3 linked regions of the Sus scrofa genome follow. The protein of the gene in region 2 interacts with the protein of the main gene of each other region in a pairwise test. Links are inferred from orthologs where the notes say so. Each region holds a gene or a part of one and is shown on either strand. Other genes may lie near its edges.

Region 1 (4,346 bases), on a different chromosome or scaffold from region 2:
CATCCCTGGAAGTGTCCTCTCTTCTTTCCTCCCACATTCCTCCAAGCAGTCTTTTCTTTCTTCTCCTGAGCTCAGCCTCCACTCTGATGCCTCCAGCACCAGACTCTGTTCCTGAGACTCTCCGGAGTCAGGCCTCCGTTTATGGGCGTCTGTCAGGCCCAGCTTCTCGTGGTCAGAGACCGCCGGGCTCAGTCTACTTTCCACCACCTCTTTTCTCCTGGGGCTTTGTTCTTGAGGCTCTGCAGGTCTTAGACTCCTCTCCGGAGTTTCTCCAGGGCTCAGCCTCCATTTCCGCACCTCTGACAGCCTGGAGCTCCGGTCTCCAGCCTCTCCTGGGCTCTGCCTCCAGTCCCTAGACTCCAAAGGCCTGGGGCTTGACTCTCGAGCTCCCCCTATCCCCAGCCTCCTCTCTCTGGCCTCCCTGGGACTGAGCCGCTCTTCTCTAGACTCTCTTTCCTTGGGGCTCTGATCCCTCATCTCCCCAGGGCTGGATCTCCACTCCCGGGCCTCCAAGAGCCCAGGCCGTCTTTCCGCAAGTAGCTCCTCACTCCGCTGCTGCTGCTGCTGCTGGCGCTCTTGCCGAATAAAGCGGTTCTGGTGCACTGGCCCAATGGCCTCCAGGAGGACGGCAGACTTGTCTGGGTCTGGAGGTCCAGCCTCCGTAGTCCCAGGCGCAGGGCTAGGCTCCCCAGGAGACAGACCAAGCTTGGCTCGGCGGCGCTCCAGAAGCCCCCGCTTCCAGGCTGGCATCTGGGACAGCCGTTCCCGTTCTGCCTTCTCCCGGCCACGAACGGCTGCCTCCTCCTGCCGGCGCCGGGCTAGCAGCTGTAGCTTCCAGTCCGGGATGGTGGCCATGGTCGACTTGGGGAGGGTGGGGGAGCGCTGGGGGCAGAGAACAGGAAGGAGAGGCTCCAGAAAGGCCCAGGGGGTGAGAATAGGGGTGGGCGGAGAGGAAGTGGGGGGAGAGGTGGGACTCGGAAGAGGACAGAGGAGCTGAGAGTGAGGAAGGACAGAGGGAAAGAGGGAGAAGAGGGAGGGCAGAAAAGGGGGAACACTGAGAACGCGAAGAAGGAACTAAGAGCCAGGTAGAGGGGGTGGGGGGAGGGAGTTGAGAGGAAGAGTGGAGATTCAGGGCAGAGGTAGGAGTCAGATTTGTCAGCACAGGTTAATGGGCATCAGACAGTCCCGAGGATGTGAGAAGACTGAAAAACGAAAGAAGTTGGCGCGAGGGAGGAAGAGAAAAGAGAGGCTGGGGGTGACGGGAACAGGATCCAGGCAAGGTTGCCTCACCGCTACCCAGGAGCGCTGAGAGCTGGAGGAGAGGTCAGGGAATCCCGCCGGAGAGGGGGCAGTGGGATCTGCACGGGTGTCGGGAAGGTGGGAGGGCGGAGAGTGGACGAGTCCTGGGGAGAAGGGGAAATCGGGGCAGAGGGGTGAGGGAGCTCCGCGGCTGCAGCCCGGCGAGTCTCAGCACGGGCCCCGGAGGTCCGGGCTCCCCTTCCAGCTCCGCTCGGGCCACGCCTCTCCGGCCCCCCAGCCCCCACCCCCCGCCCCGCACTCCGCCCCGAGGCGGGTCAGGGGAAATACCCTCCCCCGGGGACTTTCGGAACCCGGGCGTCAGACCTGCCAGCACATTCCCAGAACCCTGGCGTCCACCCCCACCCGGTCCCCGTACCACCGCCTGCCTCCTGCACCGGCGGTGCCCCGGGACCCAGGCATGCGAAGGACCAGCTCCACGCCTCCGGAGCCTGCCAGTCCCGTGCCCGGTATCGGCTCTCACGGAACCCCGACATAGCCGGCCATCCCCAGCCGGCTCTGGCCGCACAGACAGGCAATCTCGGCACAAAGAGGAGACAGCCCAAGGTCCGGGCCGGGGACGGGAGAAGGGACGGGAGAGAGGAGACACCCTCCCCAAGTCTGAAGCCCCTCCGTCAACTCACTCGCCGCGGGGCTCCCGGGGGCGGGGGTGCGGAGGAGCCTGGTGTCCGGAGAGAGGAGGAGAGAGGAAGAGGAGGAGAGAGGGATCGAGGGAGATCCGGAGACAGGCGGGAGGGGAGGAGGGAGGGGGAGGAGGAGGGAAAGAGGGAGCGGAGGAGGAGGAACGGAGACAGAGACCTGGGGGCCGGGCGGGGGGCGGCGACCGCTTTGTCTGAGGACAATGGGGAAGAGCGAAGGGGGCGCGGGGCGGAGCCGGACTAGGGGGCGGAGCCTCGCCCTCTTCGACCCCGCGTGGGATTGGGCTCCCGGACACCTCTTTTCCCGCCGCAAGCCCTGGCCTTTACGCTGTCTGTCCCCAGGGCCTCTCACCCGGCTCCCGCCCGGTAACCCGGGATAACCCAGGTGTCCAGACCCCCCGCCCCCAGCTCGCCGACCCAGGGCGGCGGCCCGTGACTCAGGCCCCTCGAGGGACTTGGGGAGGAAGCAGCAGCTGCTCTGAGCGGGGCCCGCCCTTCCCATCTCCTGCCGCTCCTCCCCACGCTTTTGCTTTCCCCGGCCAGCCTTTGTTAGTGTGGGGGCCGGGGCGGCCGCAGGGCTACGGGGGGCCCGTGGTGGTGGCGGTGGTGGGGCATCGGCAGGAGCTGTGCTCGGAAGCCAAAGGTTTCGGAAGCTCGCTTTCTTACCCGAGCCGCTGTCCCCACTCTTCAGCTTCAACCTGTCTCCTGCCGGGGCCCCCAAATCTGCAGCGAGGAAATTGGGGGATTTGAAGGAGGGGTGGGTCCTTTGGGAGTGGCCGCCGCCCAGCGGTCGCCAGAGGGCGCGGCGGATGCCTTGACTCGGGCTTGGCTCGCCTGTCCTTCCCAGAATCAGCCCTGCAGCTTGAGAGGCACTGGACAGACTGCATGCTACATGTAGAAAAACCAGGCTGGATTTTATTTTCTTGTAGCGCGAGTTCCTCGGGAGAGCAGGGAGCACTTAGTCACCTGAATTAAGAGCGGGAGAATCTGCCCAACTAAGTTCGAGGATAGAGCCCAAGGGCAAGGGCCTATGGAGCTGGAGAGGCCAGGCGGTGGGGCTGGCCTGCAGCTGCAAGGCCTGGAGCCTGGGGTGGGGGGGTGGGGGGCAGCCTCTATTGTCAAACTTGCAGACCTTGGTCCAGCTTCTAGGAGGTGGAGCAAGATGTGGGAAGAGAATCCCTGAGGCGCAGAGGCGAGTAACAGGGCCAGGGGATTGGTCAGGCCAGGCCCTTCTCCTTGTAAGGAGGTTGTAAACGGAGGGTCAAGCCCTAAACTATGAGGAGAAAGATAAAGTTTCCCACTCCCTCTTCCTGGCTGGTGAGAAGTGGACCTTGGCGTCCAGTAGCTGAAACTCAATTTAGGGTCTAGAGCTGGACCCAAGAAGGAGAGGCTTAAGCAGGGGAAGGGACAGGTCCTTCAGTCCTTGGATTTGGGTCTCTGGTCTGAAGCAGACAGGTCCTGGATGAGAAGGGGTTTGGAATTGGAGGGAGAGGAAGTGTAGGGCTTGGAACCAGGGTTAGCTTCTCACTCAGCCTCCCCATCCTGGGGCCGGGAGAGCAGGTGGAGTTTTCTTTGCAGCTGGGCCCGGAGGTAGCGGAGGTCTTGCTGGTCAAGTCCGTGAGCCAGGCCCAGGTAGAGGGTAAGGAGGAGAGCAAGAAGGAGGCGGTCAGTGCCCAGAGTGGGCACCACCCAGAGCACTGTCAGCAGCTCCACGCACACGGGGTGGCGCAGGTGAGAGAAGAGTCTCAGAGCTCGGGGAGACTTCAGGGCCAGGGGCTCACCCAGCCCCAGCACGTGGTAGTACACCTGGGAGAGGGAGAACGGCTTAGAAGTGGACTCAAGCCCTTGTCACAACTTGGCTGCCTCTTTCCTCCCCTTCCAGGCACCCTCCTTCTATAACTCAGGTTCAATCCAAGAACCACCCCTCTGAGACTTGGGCCCCTGAATTTTCCCCAGGTCCAGAAGAGCCATGGTTTCTGGCCTTTGGGGGGAGACTATCTTACAAGAAAGGGAGGCGAGGGAGTCAAAAGCAAGAGGAAGGAGGAGGAGGGACATCCTTGGAAGGGAAAGAGGTGTTCTGGAAAGAATCAGAGGTCTCAGGGAGGGATCTGGGAGCCTCACCTGTTTGAGGCCCATGAGTTCTGCGTAGTCAAAGACGAGAAGGATGCTGAAGATGAGGAGCCAGGAAATGACGTGGAGCACAAAGCAGAGGAGGGGCACCCAGGTGGCCCATGGCTCGGCCTGAGCCTCCCACAATACCGGGCCCCTGGGTACAGGCTCCCAGTACCGCATCACCAGCTGAAGAAGGATGAGGGGGTGGGTATCCGAGCAGCCCACTCCTGAAAGACCTAGACCCAGAGGCTGCCCCCACCCCAGGCTGACCTCCTGCTT
Region 2 (3,636 bases):
GGGGGTGGAGGAGGCAGAAGGGGACCCCAAAGACAGGGCCCACCGGCCTCCAGCCCTGAATGGGCAGTGCAGCGACCCCAGCATAGGCTGACTGACAGGTGGCGGGCAGGCTCAGAGGTAGCCTTCCCCCTCCCAACTGTGTGGCCAGGCCTCCCGAAGGGGCTCAGGTGAAGAGAGTGGACTGGACCAGGCTGCTGCCACCATCACTGGGTGTGGAGATCCAGGCCATTCAACAGGTGGGCCTAACGCCCAACCCACTGCCAGCCGCAACTCTGACCCACCCCTGACTCTCACCCCATCCCGGTTCCCCAGGACCATCTCCGTCTTTAACCTCATCCCTAACCCAGTCCTTTTCTGGGCACCAAACCCTTCCTGGGTGCTCCCTCCACCCACTCCCCAACCCAGCCTCACACCAGCTCCCTTCCACCTCCTGTCCTCACACTTCAGCCCATGTCCAGCCCACCTCTTGCCTATCTTCTGCATTAATCTGACTCTCCCTGGCCTCAGAAATAACTTCTCTCCCAGAAACAAGAAGTGGCAGCCTCGGGTCTCTCCAGCCCTCTGTGTGGAGTGTGGCGGTGGGAGGAGGTCGTCCATGAAAGCAATGAGGAAGCTGAGTTTCCACCTGAAGCCCCACCTGGGGGGCAGGTGAGCATGGGAGGGGTGCTGAAAGGGCCAGGTCCGGGGACTGGGAAAGGGGCCTGGGACGCTATGTGCATCCCTCTTCCCCAGCCCAGGGCAGAGGTTGGCTGAGGGCCCGCTAGGTGCTGGCCATGGAGCCCCAAGCCCAACGGGACACCACCTCTCTAGGCACTTGCCAGCTGATGTGGGAAATAAAAATGAACATAGTGGGAGTTCCTTGGTGGCCTAGTGGTTAAGGATTTGGCATTGTTACTGCCTGAGAATTTCTGCATGCTGTGGGCGCTTCCAAAAGAGGGGGAAAAAAAGTAAACAAAGCAAACACATAGATTTTGTAGTGGTGGTGGTGATGGTTGTTTCAAAAACACTGGCAGGACTCACCTTATATAAAATGGTACTACAGTGAGAAGGGGGTATGTGAATTGTTCTTCCTGACACCATAAAGGTACATTAAGCGTTTATCTTTTTTTTTTTTTTTTTTTTTTTTTTTTTTTTTTGCTTTTTAGGGCTGCACTTGTGGCGTATGGAGGTTCCCATGCTAGGGGTTGAATCAGAGCTACAGCTGCCGACCTACGCCACAGCCACAGCAATTCAGGTGGGATCCGAGCTGCATCTGTGACCTACACTACAGCAATGCCGGATCCTTAACCCACTGATTGAGGCCAGGGATCGAACCCACACCTCATAATTCCTAGTCGGATTTGTTTCCGCTGTACCACAAAGGAACCACAGGTTTGTACAGGGAAACCAACATTTGAGTTTATTTTGAAGAGAAAAAGAGAGAAGTTGGAGTTCCCGCTGTGGCACAGTGGGTTAAGAATATGACCACAGGAAACGAATTTGACTAGGAAACATGAGGTTGCAGGTTTGATCCCTGGTCCCGCTCAGTGGGTTAAGGATCTGGCGTTGCTATGAGCTGTGGTGTAGGTCACAGGCGAGGCTTGGATCCTGTGTTGCTGTGGCTGTGGTGTAGGCCGGTGGCTGTAGCTCCGATTCGACCCCTAGCCTGAGAACCTCCATATGCCACGGGTGCAGCCCTAAAAAGACAAAAAAAAAAAGAAAAAAGAATATGATTACAGTGGCTGGGATGGTGGTGGAGGTGCAGGGTTGATCCCTAGCCCAACGCAGTGGGTTAAAGGATCCAGCATTGTGACCTGTGTTGCAGCTGTGCCTCAGATTCAATTCCTGGCCCAGGAACTTCCATATGGCGCAGGTGAATCATAAATAAAAAGAGAGAGAGCAGTTAAGTGGGGTGAGGGAGGAGAGGCCTCTCAGACAGCGGGAACAGTACAAGCAAGGACATGGAGCGTGAAAGCATATAACATATTTGGGGAGTAGAGGGCAGCTGGGGGTGGCGAGCGAGAGATGAGGTTGGACCAGACCAAGAAAGGCGTTCCCTGTCTCTGAAGCTGAGAGACTGCGCTGTTCTCCATCAAAGCACGGGAGGGCTGTGAGTGGGGAGTACCAGGTCAGCTCTAGATATGGGAAGCTGGCTAGGGCCACGTGGGCACCCACCGGAGGCTGGGAGGCCAGGGAAGAGGCTGGGGCAGTGGTCCAGAGGTAGCGGATGAAGCTCGAGCCAGGCCAGGGCTTGGGGCTGGAGCAAAAAGGACGGGCAGAGAGAATTGGGCCCGGGAAGATGGGGCTGCCGACCTGCTGAGGGCCTGGGTGCTGGGAAGGGCATAGACAGCAAGATGCTGAACTTTCCTTTCCTGACCTCCTAAGGTGGGCGCCCTGAGGGGTGGGGGGCGCTGCTTGGGGGCAGCGGGTGCACAAGGCGGGAGCTCAGGGCTGGATTTAGTAAACAGTGCCAAGTGGGTGGATGAGGCCAGAGTCAAGGTTGGGTGTCAGAAAATGGAGAGAGACCTGGGTCCTGAGGGAGAGCAGCTGGCAGGGCCGCCCCAAGACTGGGAACCTGGGAGGAGCAGGGGCCTGGAGGGCAAACGCTGAGCCTCTCTGGGGCCTGTGTGAGTGTGAGAGGGTTGGGAGGACCTGGGTCCCGGGTCCCGAGGAGGAAGGAGGCTTGGTGGGGTCCGGAGCAACCGTCCAGTGTCTGGTTTCTGCCCCCGGAGGGGTAGTAGAGCCATCCTTGAGAAGGGGTCCAGGGGGAGGCAGGTCTTAGAAGCAGCTGGTGAATTCGTGCAGGGGTTGCAGCCTGAGAAACCCGAGCTTTTCTTTCCCGCAGAACAACTTGCAGGGAGAACCAGCACACCCTCCTGACGAAAGGAAGGAGCGATCGATGTGGTGAGAAGAGTGGTCCTCCCTGAGCCACGGCTCTGCCTTGGGGTGACGCCCCCTTCTTAGTGGATAGAGTGCAGAGCCCGGAAGAGCCCTGAAGGAGCAGTGGGTCACTCCTGCCCTCGTTCCTTCATGCTGCGGCGACCCTGGGCCCGTGGACTGGGTTGAGTCAGACCCAGTCCTGCCCTCAGCACCTTCCGTCTGTGGAGGAGACAGCCCCTGACCCAGACGGTTCTGGGAGGACACCCAGAGGGGGTGGCTTTGCGGGAGGCCCTGCTTGGGGTCCAGCAGGGCTGGCATTCATGTAGGAGACCCTTACACAAGAATACAGCTGTCAGGCAAGGGGGACAGCTCAGGCACTCAGTCCCGGTCACTGAACGCACCCCTCCCACGGCTTCCTGGGATGAATGAGGCTCAGATTGTGCCCCAGGAGAGCAACCAGACAATTGGGAGACGTCAGGGGCTCTGGAATCAGACAGCCTGGGTTCAGATCCCAGCTTGGCTGCTTGGTGATGGGATGGGGTGAGCCTCTGCCCGGTGAGACCGTTAGAGGCTCACGTGCAACCTCTGAGGACAGAGAAAGCGCTAGATATCCGGTTGCCCCTCCTCCTCGGGGCCTCTGCCTTCCTGTGGTGCCTCTTCCACCCCCCCCCAACCCGCCCCCCTCCCCCGGCCTCCCTCAGGCTCCCAGCTTCGGCCACTAATGAGGCTGCTGCCTCGGCCTCTAATTGGACTTGTCTGGGAAAGCTGAGATCTGGC
Region 3 (4,421 bases), on a different chromosome or scaffold from region 2:
CCTTGAGGCAGCAGGATAAGGGGGTGGGGGTGGGGGGGAGGGACAGAGAGCTGCACACCTTGTTCTTGCCACCGCAAGAGGGAATGTTTTCTCCTAGAGGAGTCCCACCACCACCAGATTAGACAAGCAGCCCAGCATGCACACGAGCACGCGTGCACATGCACACTTGTGTCCCCAGTGCCCACGGTCACAGCCCTCTCCCTATCCCCTGAAAACCTCAAGCTCCCATGCCAAAGGGATGTGCCCTCAGTGTTTTCCCCAAATCTCGCTCATTCAGTGGAAATCGCCAACCCCTTAAGCAAGTCCACCTGCCTCGGGGCTGCCTCGGGGCTGCAAATCAAGCTCCAGGTAGTTTTCTGTACCTACACCTATAGGCATGATCCCTCCCACCTCCCCCTGACCCTGGAATGACTCCATCTCCTGGCCCCCAGACTTTCCAAATACATTCCACAATGTCTCCAGCTCACTCTCTCAACCGCCTGCCTGGCATGCTCCGCTCCCTCACACGCTACCCTGCCCCTTCCCATCCCCGTTCCATGCCCCTCCATACCCCCCGCTTCTTCCAAGGGCATTCCTCTGCTCTGTTCCTGCTCTCCTGTCCCCCAGCCACACCTAGCCCCACCTGGCCCTGGACTTTCTCACTTGCTAGCAAAAAAGGCCCCTACAGTTACCAGGGCCCCCAGTGCCACGGCCCCCGTCAGCACTGTCCTCACTGAGGCCCAGTTCCCCTCCCGCAGACGCCGCGCCTCCTCCAGGGCCCCGTCCCCGTATAGAGCTGTGAACTCCGCCTGTGGGAGAGAAGGGAAGTAGGAGAGAAAGAAGGAGAAAGGGATATCAGGAGAGGAAAGAGTGGAGAAAAGAGGAGAGGAAGAGTTCCAGTTCCATCCACTGCAAGCACTACCCCACCCCTAGCTCCTCTCCAGCCAAAGCTCTACTGGCTGCCAGCCCCTCTGATCCCCCATGAGCGCCTGGCTCATTTGTCCTTCTCTACCTCAAGCTAATCCCATCCTTTCCCTGGCCAAAAACTCTGCTCAGAACGGGCCTCCTTTGCCAAGGCTCGCCTGACCACCACCCATCCCTGATCCCTGACCCCCCTCCCCCCATGCCATACACTCAGGTATAAAAGGTTCCTGACAGTTGGATGCCTTTTCCCTGCAGGCACTACCTGGCTACTGGGTATTCTGTACTCTGCTTTGGACCCTGAGCCCACCCAGTGATGACTGCATGGCAGCCCTGGAGGGCAGAGTCCAATGATGCCCAGACAAGGGCATTCCATTCCACCCAAATAGGGAGACTCAGACCTCACATCTCATTCTCAGCACAGCTGCCCCCAGCTCCAGCCAGAGCCCCCATCTTCTCCCTGGAGACCAGCTTTTTGGAGGGATGTGCAGAACAGCAATTGAGAAGCTTCTTACCCAGCCCCCACTGCTGTGGATCCAGTCGGCCAGCCGTGTCTCCAGGTAGGTCACCATCCACTCCTGCACTTGTCCCACGAGTGGCTCCATCTCCTTATTGACACTCTCAGCACACAGTGCAGCTCCGAAGACAAAGAAGGCCACAAGGCGGCCCCAGTTGGGGCCTCCTTGGAAGAGTTCATCAGAGACCTGGGTGAAGCGCTGCTGGGCCGAGCCCGGGGTCACATGCAACTGAGCTGCCAAATCTGAGAAGGTGCGCCGGAAGCGGGTCTCGAACTCATCTCCAGCTGCCCGCATGGCTTGGTGCAGCGGGTCAGCTGCTGGGCCCTCCCCGGGGCCAGCTCCACAGACATAACCCTTCTGCCTCAGCTTATAGCCCACAAAGTCTGCCACTAGAGCCCGTGTGTCTGGGGCTGAGGCCGGGGTCGCCATCCGGGCGGCTGTCAGAGTCAAACACAAAAGACACTGGCATGATTATAGGGTCAGAGACTCAGAAGGGGGCATTTCAGGTTTGGCCAGCCCAGTGAGACAGGGAGAGAGCGGGGAGGAAATCTCAGAGACCACTGGCCTGGGAGAGGTAAGAACAAGGAAATTAAGCCATGGTGAGGGGTCAGGGCATGAGGGCCTGGCCCTTAAAACTCATAATATGCCAAATTAAAGGTAAAACAAGTAAATTTCATTATTAAAATACTTTTTTAGATTCTTTCCATAAGAAGACAACAGCAGGGCTGTGACATCCCTACAAGCCCCCTCTCCACGGTATACACCTTTTTGGCTAGAGGAAGGGGCTTAGGGCCTCCCCAGAGGCCTGATGTGAAGATGCTGACAGAGGCACAAGATGGGGGAGGAGACAGGGCTGAAGGGAAAGAAGGAGAAGCCAAGGGTTGCCCAGGACAGAGAAGGAAGGGGACACTCACCCAGCCTGGATGGCAGCTCTTAGGACCCAGCGCTGGTGGCAAGGAGCCCCCAGCTGGGGCCTTTCATCCTCTTGCCCAGCGTGGAGCCCTGGGAAGGGGAGGGGGAGATCAGAGCTAGATGGGAAAGACCAGGGATCAGGGTCCGGGCTGAGAAGGGCTGGGGTTGCAGCTCCCGGGACAAGGGCCCTGCCCCCAACGCTCTACCAGCTGTGTGGCCGAATCCATGTTTAATGACTGTCCTCCCGGGAAACCCAGGGCCAAGGGCTTCCTGCCGACACCATCTCTACTCCTGGCTCCCCCCGAGTGCAGCCCAAAGGCCCAGCTCCTCCCTCACCCCCACCCTCAGCCAGTCTGCAACCCCGCCTGCCTGCCAGGTTAAGGATCTCACGGGTCAGGCCGCTGCCGGGATCCGGGCCGTTTCCTGGTGCAGGAGCTAGGAGGGAGGGAGAGAGGGAGGAAGGGAGGGAAGGAAGGAGGGAGGAGAAAGGGGGGGCGGGAGGGAGGGCCCGGCGCCGGGTGATGATGGGGCCCAGAGATGCGTCCAGAGAGAGGGGCGGGGCTGGGACGCAGGCTTGGGAAAGGCCACCACTCAGGAAGAAAGCGGGTGGCTGGAGACTGAGAAGCACAGGCCAGGAGGGCATTGAGGGCCCGGGCAGGGCTCCTGAGCCTGGAGGCTACTCAGAGAAGCCGACAGGGCCTCAAGAAACCTCAGAGCAAATTCAGCATTTCCAGGTCTCTGATGTTCCATGCACTTGTTGAACTTCTCCAGCCCTGAAGCAGCGGGCCAGAAAAGAGGATCAGCTCCCATTCCAATGGGAACTAACTGCCTGCCAGGTGTCTCACCCTGTGGGCCTGGCAGATGTGATACAGATACCAAACACCTCACTTCCTCTTTTCTCCAGGAACTTTAACCCAGTTGTCTCTTTGTGCGTTGGGGCTTTAGCCAGGCACCAAGGAGCCAGGTCTTGGATCGCAGGCAGTTTCTGCAGGTAACTTTTCTTCATTTTCTCTCTCTCTCTCTCTCTCTCTTTTTTTTTTTTTTTTTTTTGTAATCAGATCTTCTGTTTAATTCTTTCTACTCAGCACATGAACTTGTTTTCTTTCTTTTTTGGGGGGAGGGGTGTGTGTGCTGTGCCCCTGGCACGTGGAAGTTCCTGGGGCCCGGGATTGAACCTGCACCACATCAGCACCCCAAGCCATTGCAGTGACAGTGCTGGACCCTTAACCCACTGCAACCACAAAAGAACGCCACATGAATATGTTCTCTCTATGAAAAAGTCAGACAGTATAGAAATACGGAGAAAAAAATACAAGTCCTCAATCTTCCTCCCTCTGCCTTTTCCACAATTCCCATTCCCTTCCTGGAGGCTGCCAGTGTCAAAACTGATATTTGTCCTTTCAGGTTACGTGTAAATATATATATGCACCTATATGAATGTCTATTATTTAAATATGGCAGTATGTTGGAGTTCCCGTCGTGGCTCAGTGGTTAACGAATCCGACTAGGAACCACGAGGTTGCGGGTTCAGTCCCTGGCCTTGCTCAGTGGGTTGGGGATCCGCCGTTGCCGTGGGCCGTGGTGAAGGTTGCAGACGCGGCCCAGATCTGGTGTTGCTGTGGTTCTGGTGTAGGCCAGCAGCTACAGCTCTGATTGGATCCCTAGCCTGGGAACCTCCACATGCCATGGGAGCTGCCCCAGAAACGGCAAAAAGACAAAAAAAAATTTTTTAAATAAAAAAATTAAAAAAATAAATATGGCAATATGTTTAGACGGGGTGCAAGCCATCTGACCATCACTGATCCACATGAGGGCACACTCAGGTGTTCTGACTGGAGCCCACCAACTCTTAACTGGCACTTCCTTCAACTCCATCTGGAGGACTCTCTAACCAAAGGCCCAGAAAAAGTAACCTAATTCTCCGTTCCTGCTGGTTCCCTTTATTTCTATCCCAGTCCAAGCCTTGGTATTCCCATCTGCCCCTACGGTAACTAGAGAAGAAAGATCTTTTCTTTTTTTCTTTCTTTTTTTTTTTTTTTTTTTTGTCTTTTTTCCATTTCTTGGGCCGCTCCCACGGCATGTGGAGGGTCC

The links. The genes of interacting proteins can lie anywhere in the genome.
Region 1: the proteins of CCDC155 (region 2) and PPP1R18 interact in binary tests that used the Homo sapiens proteins (3 or more experiments, as listed by UniProt). The two-hybrid records come from large-scale screens. The link is inferred for Sus scrofa from reciprocal best matches to the Homo sapiens genes KASH5 and PPP1R18.
Region 3: the proteins of CCDC155 (region 2) and bcl-2-like protein 2 interact in binary tests that used the Homo sapiens proteins (3 or more experiments, as listed by UniProt). The two-hybrid records come from large-scale screens. The link is inferred for Sus scrofa from reciprocal best matches to the Homo sapiens genes KASH5 and BCL2L2.

What each region holds. Positions count from the first base shown.
Region 1 is NC_010449.5:23,219,461-23,223,806, forward strand, and holds the start of PPP1R18 (phostensin), read right to left. Parts: upstream 2,836-4,346; 5' UTR 2,622-2,835; intron 2,003-2,621; exon of another isoform or gene 1,941-2,002; intron 1,925-1,940; exon of another isoform or gene 1,676-1,924; intron 1,404-1,675; exon of another isoform or gene 883-1,403; 5' UTR 856-882; coding exon 1-855. Other genes in the region: NRM (nurim), read right to left, coding at 3,480-3,761, 4,077-4,253.
Region 2 is NC_010448.4:54,493,862-54,497,497, forward strand, and holds part of CCDC155 (protein KASH5), read left to right. Parts: intron 1-148; coding exon 149-236; intron 237-525; coding exon 526-648; intron 649-2,824; coding exon 2,825-2,883; intron 2,884-3,636. UniProt on the Homo sapiens protein: As a component of the LINC (LInker of Nucleoskeleton and Cytoskeleton) complex, involved in the connection between the nuclear lamina and the cytoskeleton.
Region 3 is NC_010449.5:75,767,909-75,772,329, forward strand, and holds the start of bcl-2-like protein 2, read right to left. Parts: upstream 2,836-4,421; 5' UTR 2,721-2,835; exon of another isoform or gene 2,700-2,720; intron 2,447-2,699; exon of another isoform or gene 2,421-2,446; 5' UTR 2,333-2,420; intron 1,856-2,332; 5' UTR 1,848-1,855; coding exon 1,416-1,847; intron 789-1,415; coding exon 639-788; 3' UTR 1-638. UniProt on the Homo sapiens protein: Promotes cell survival. Blocks dexamethasone-induced apoptosis. Mediates survival of postmitotic Sertoli cells by suppressing death-promoting activity of BAX.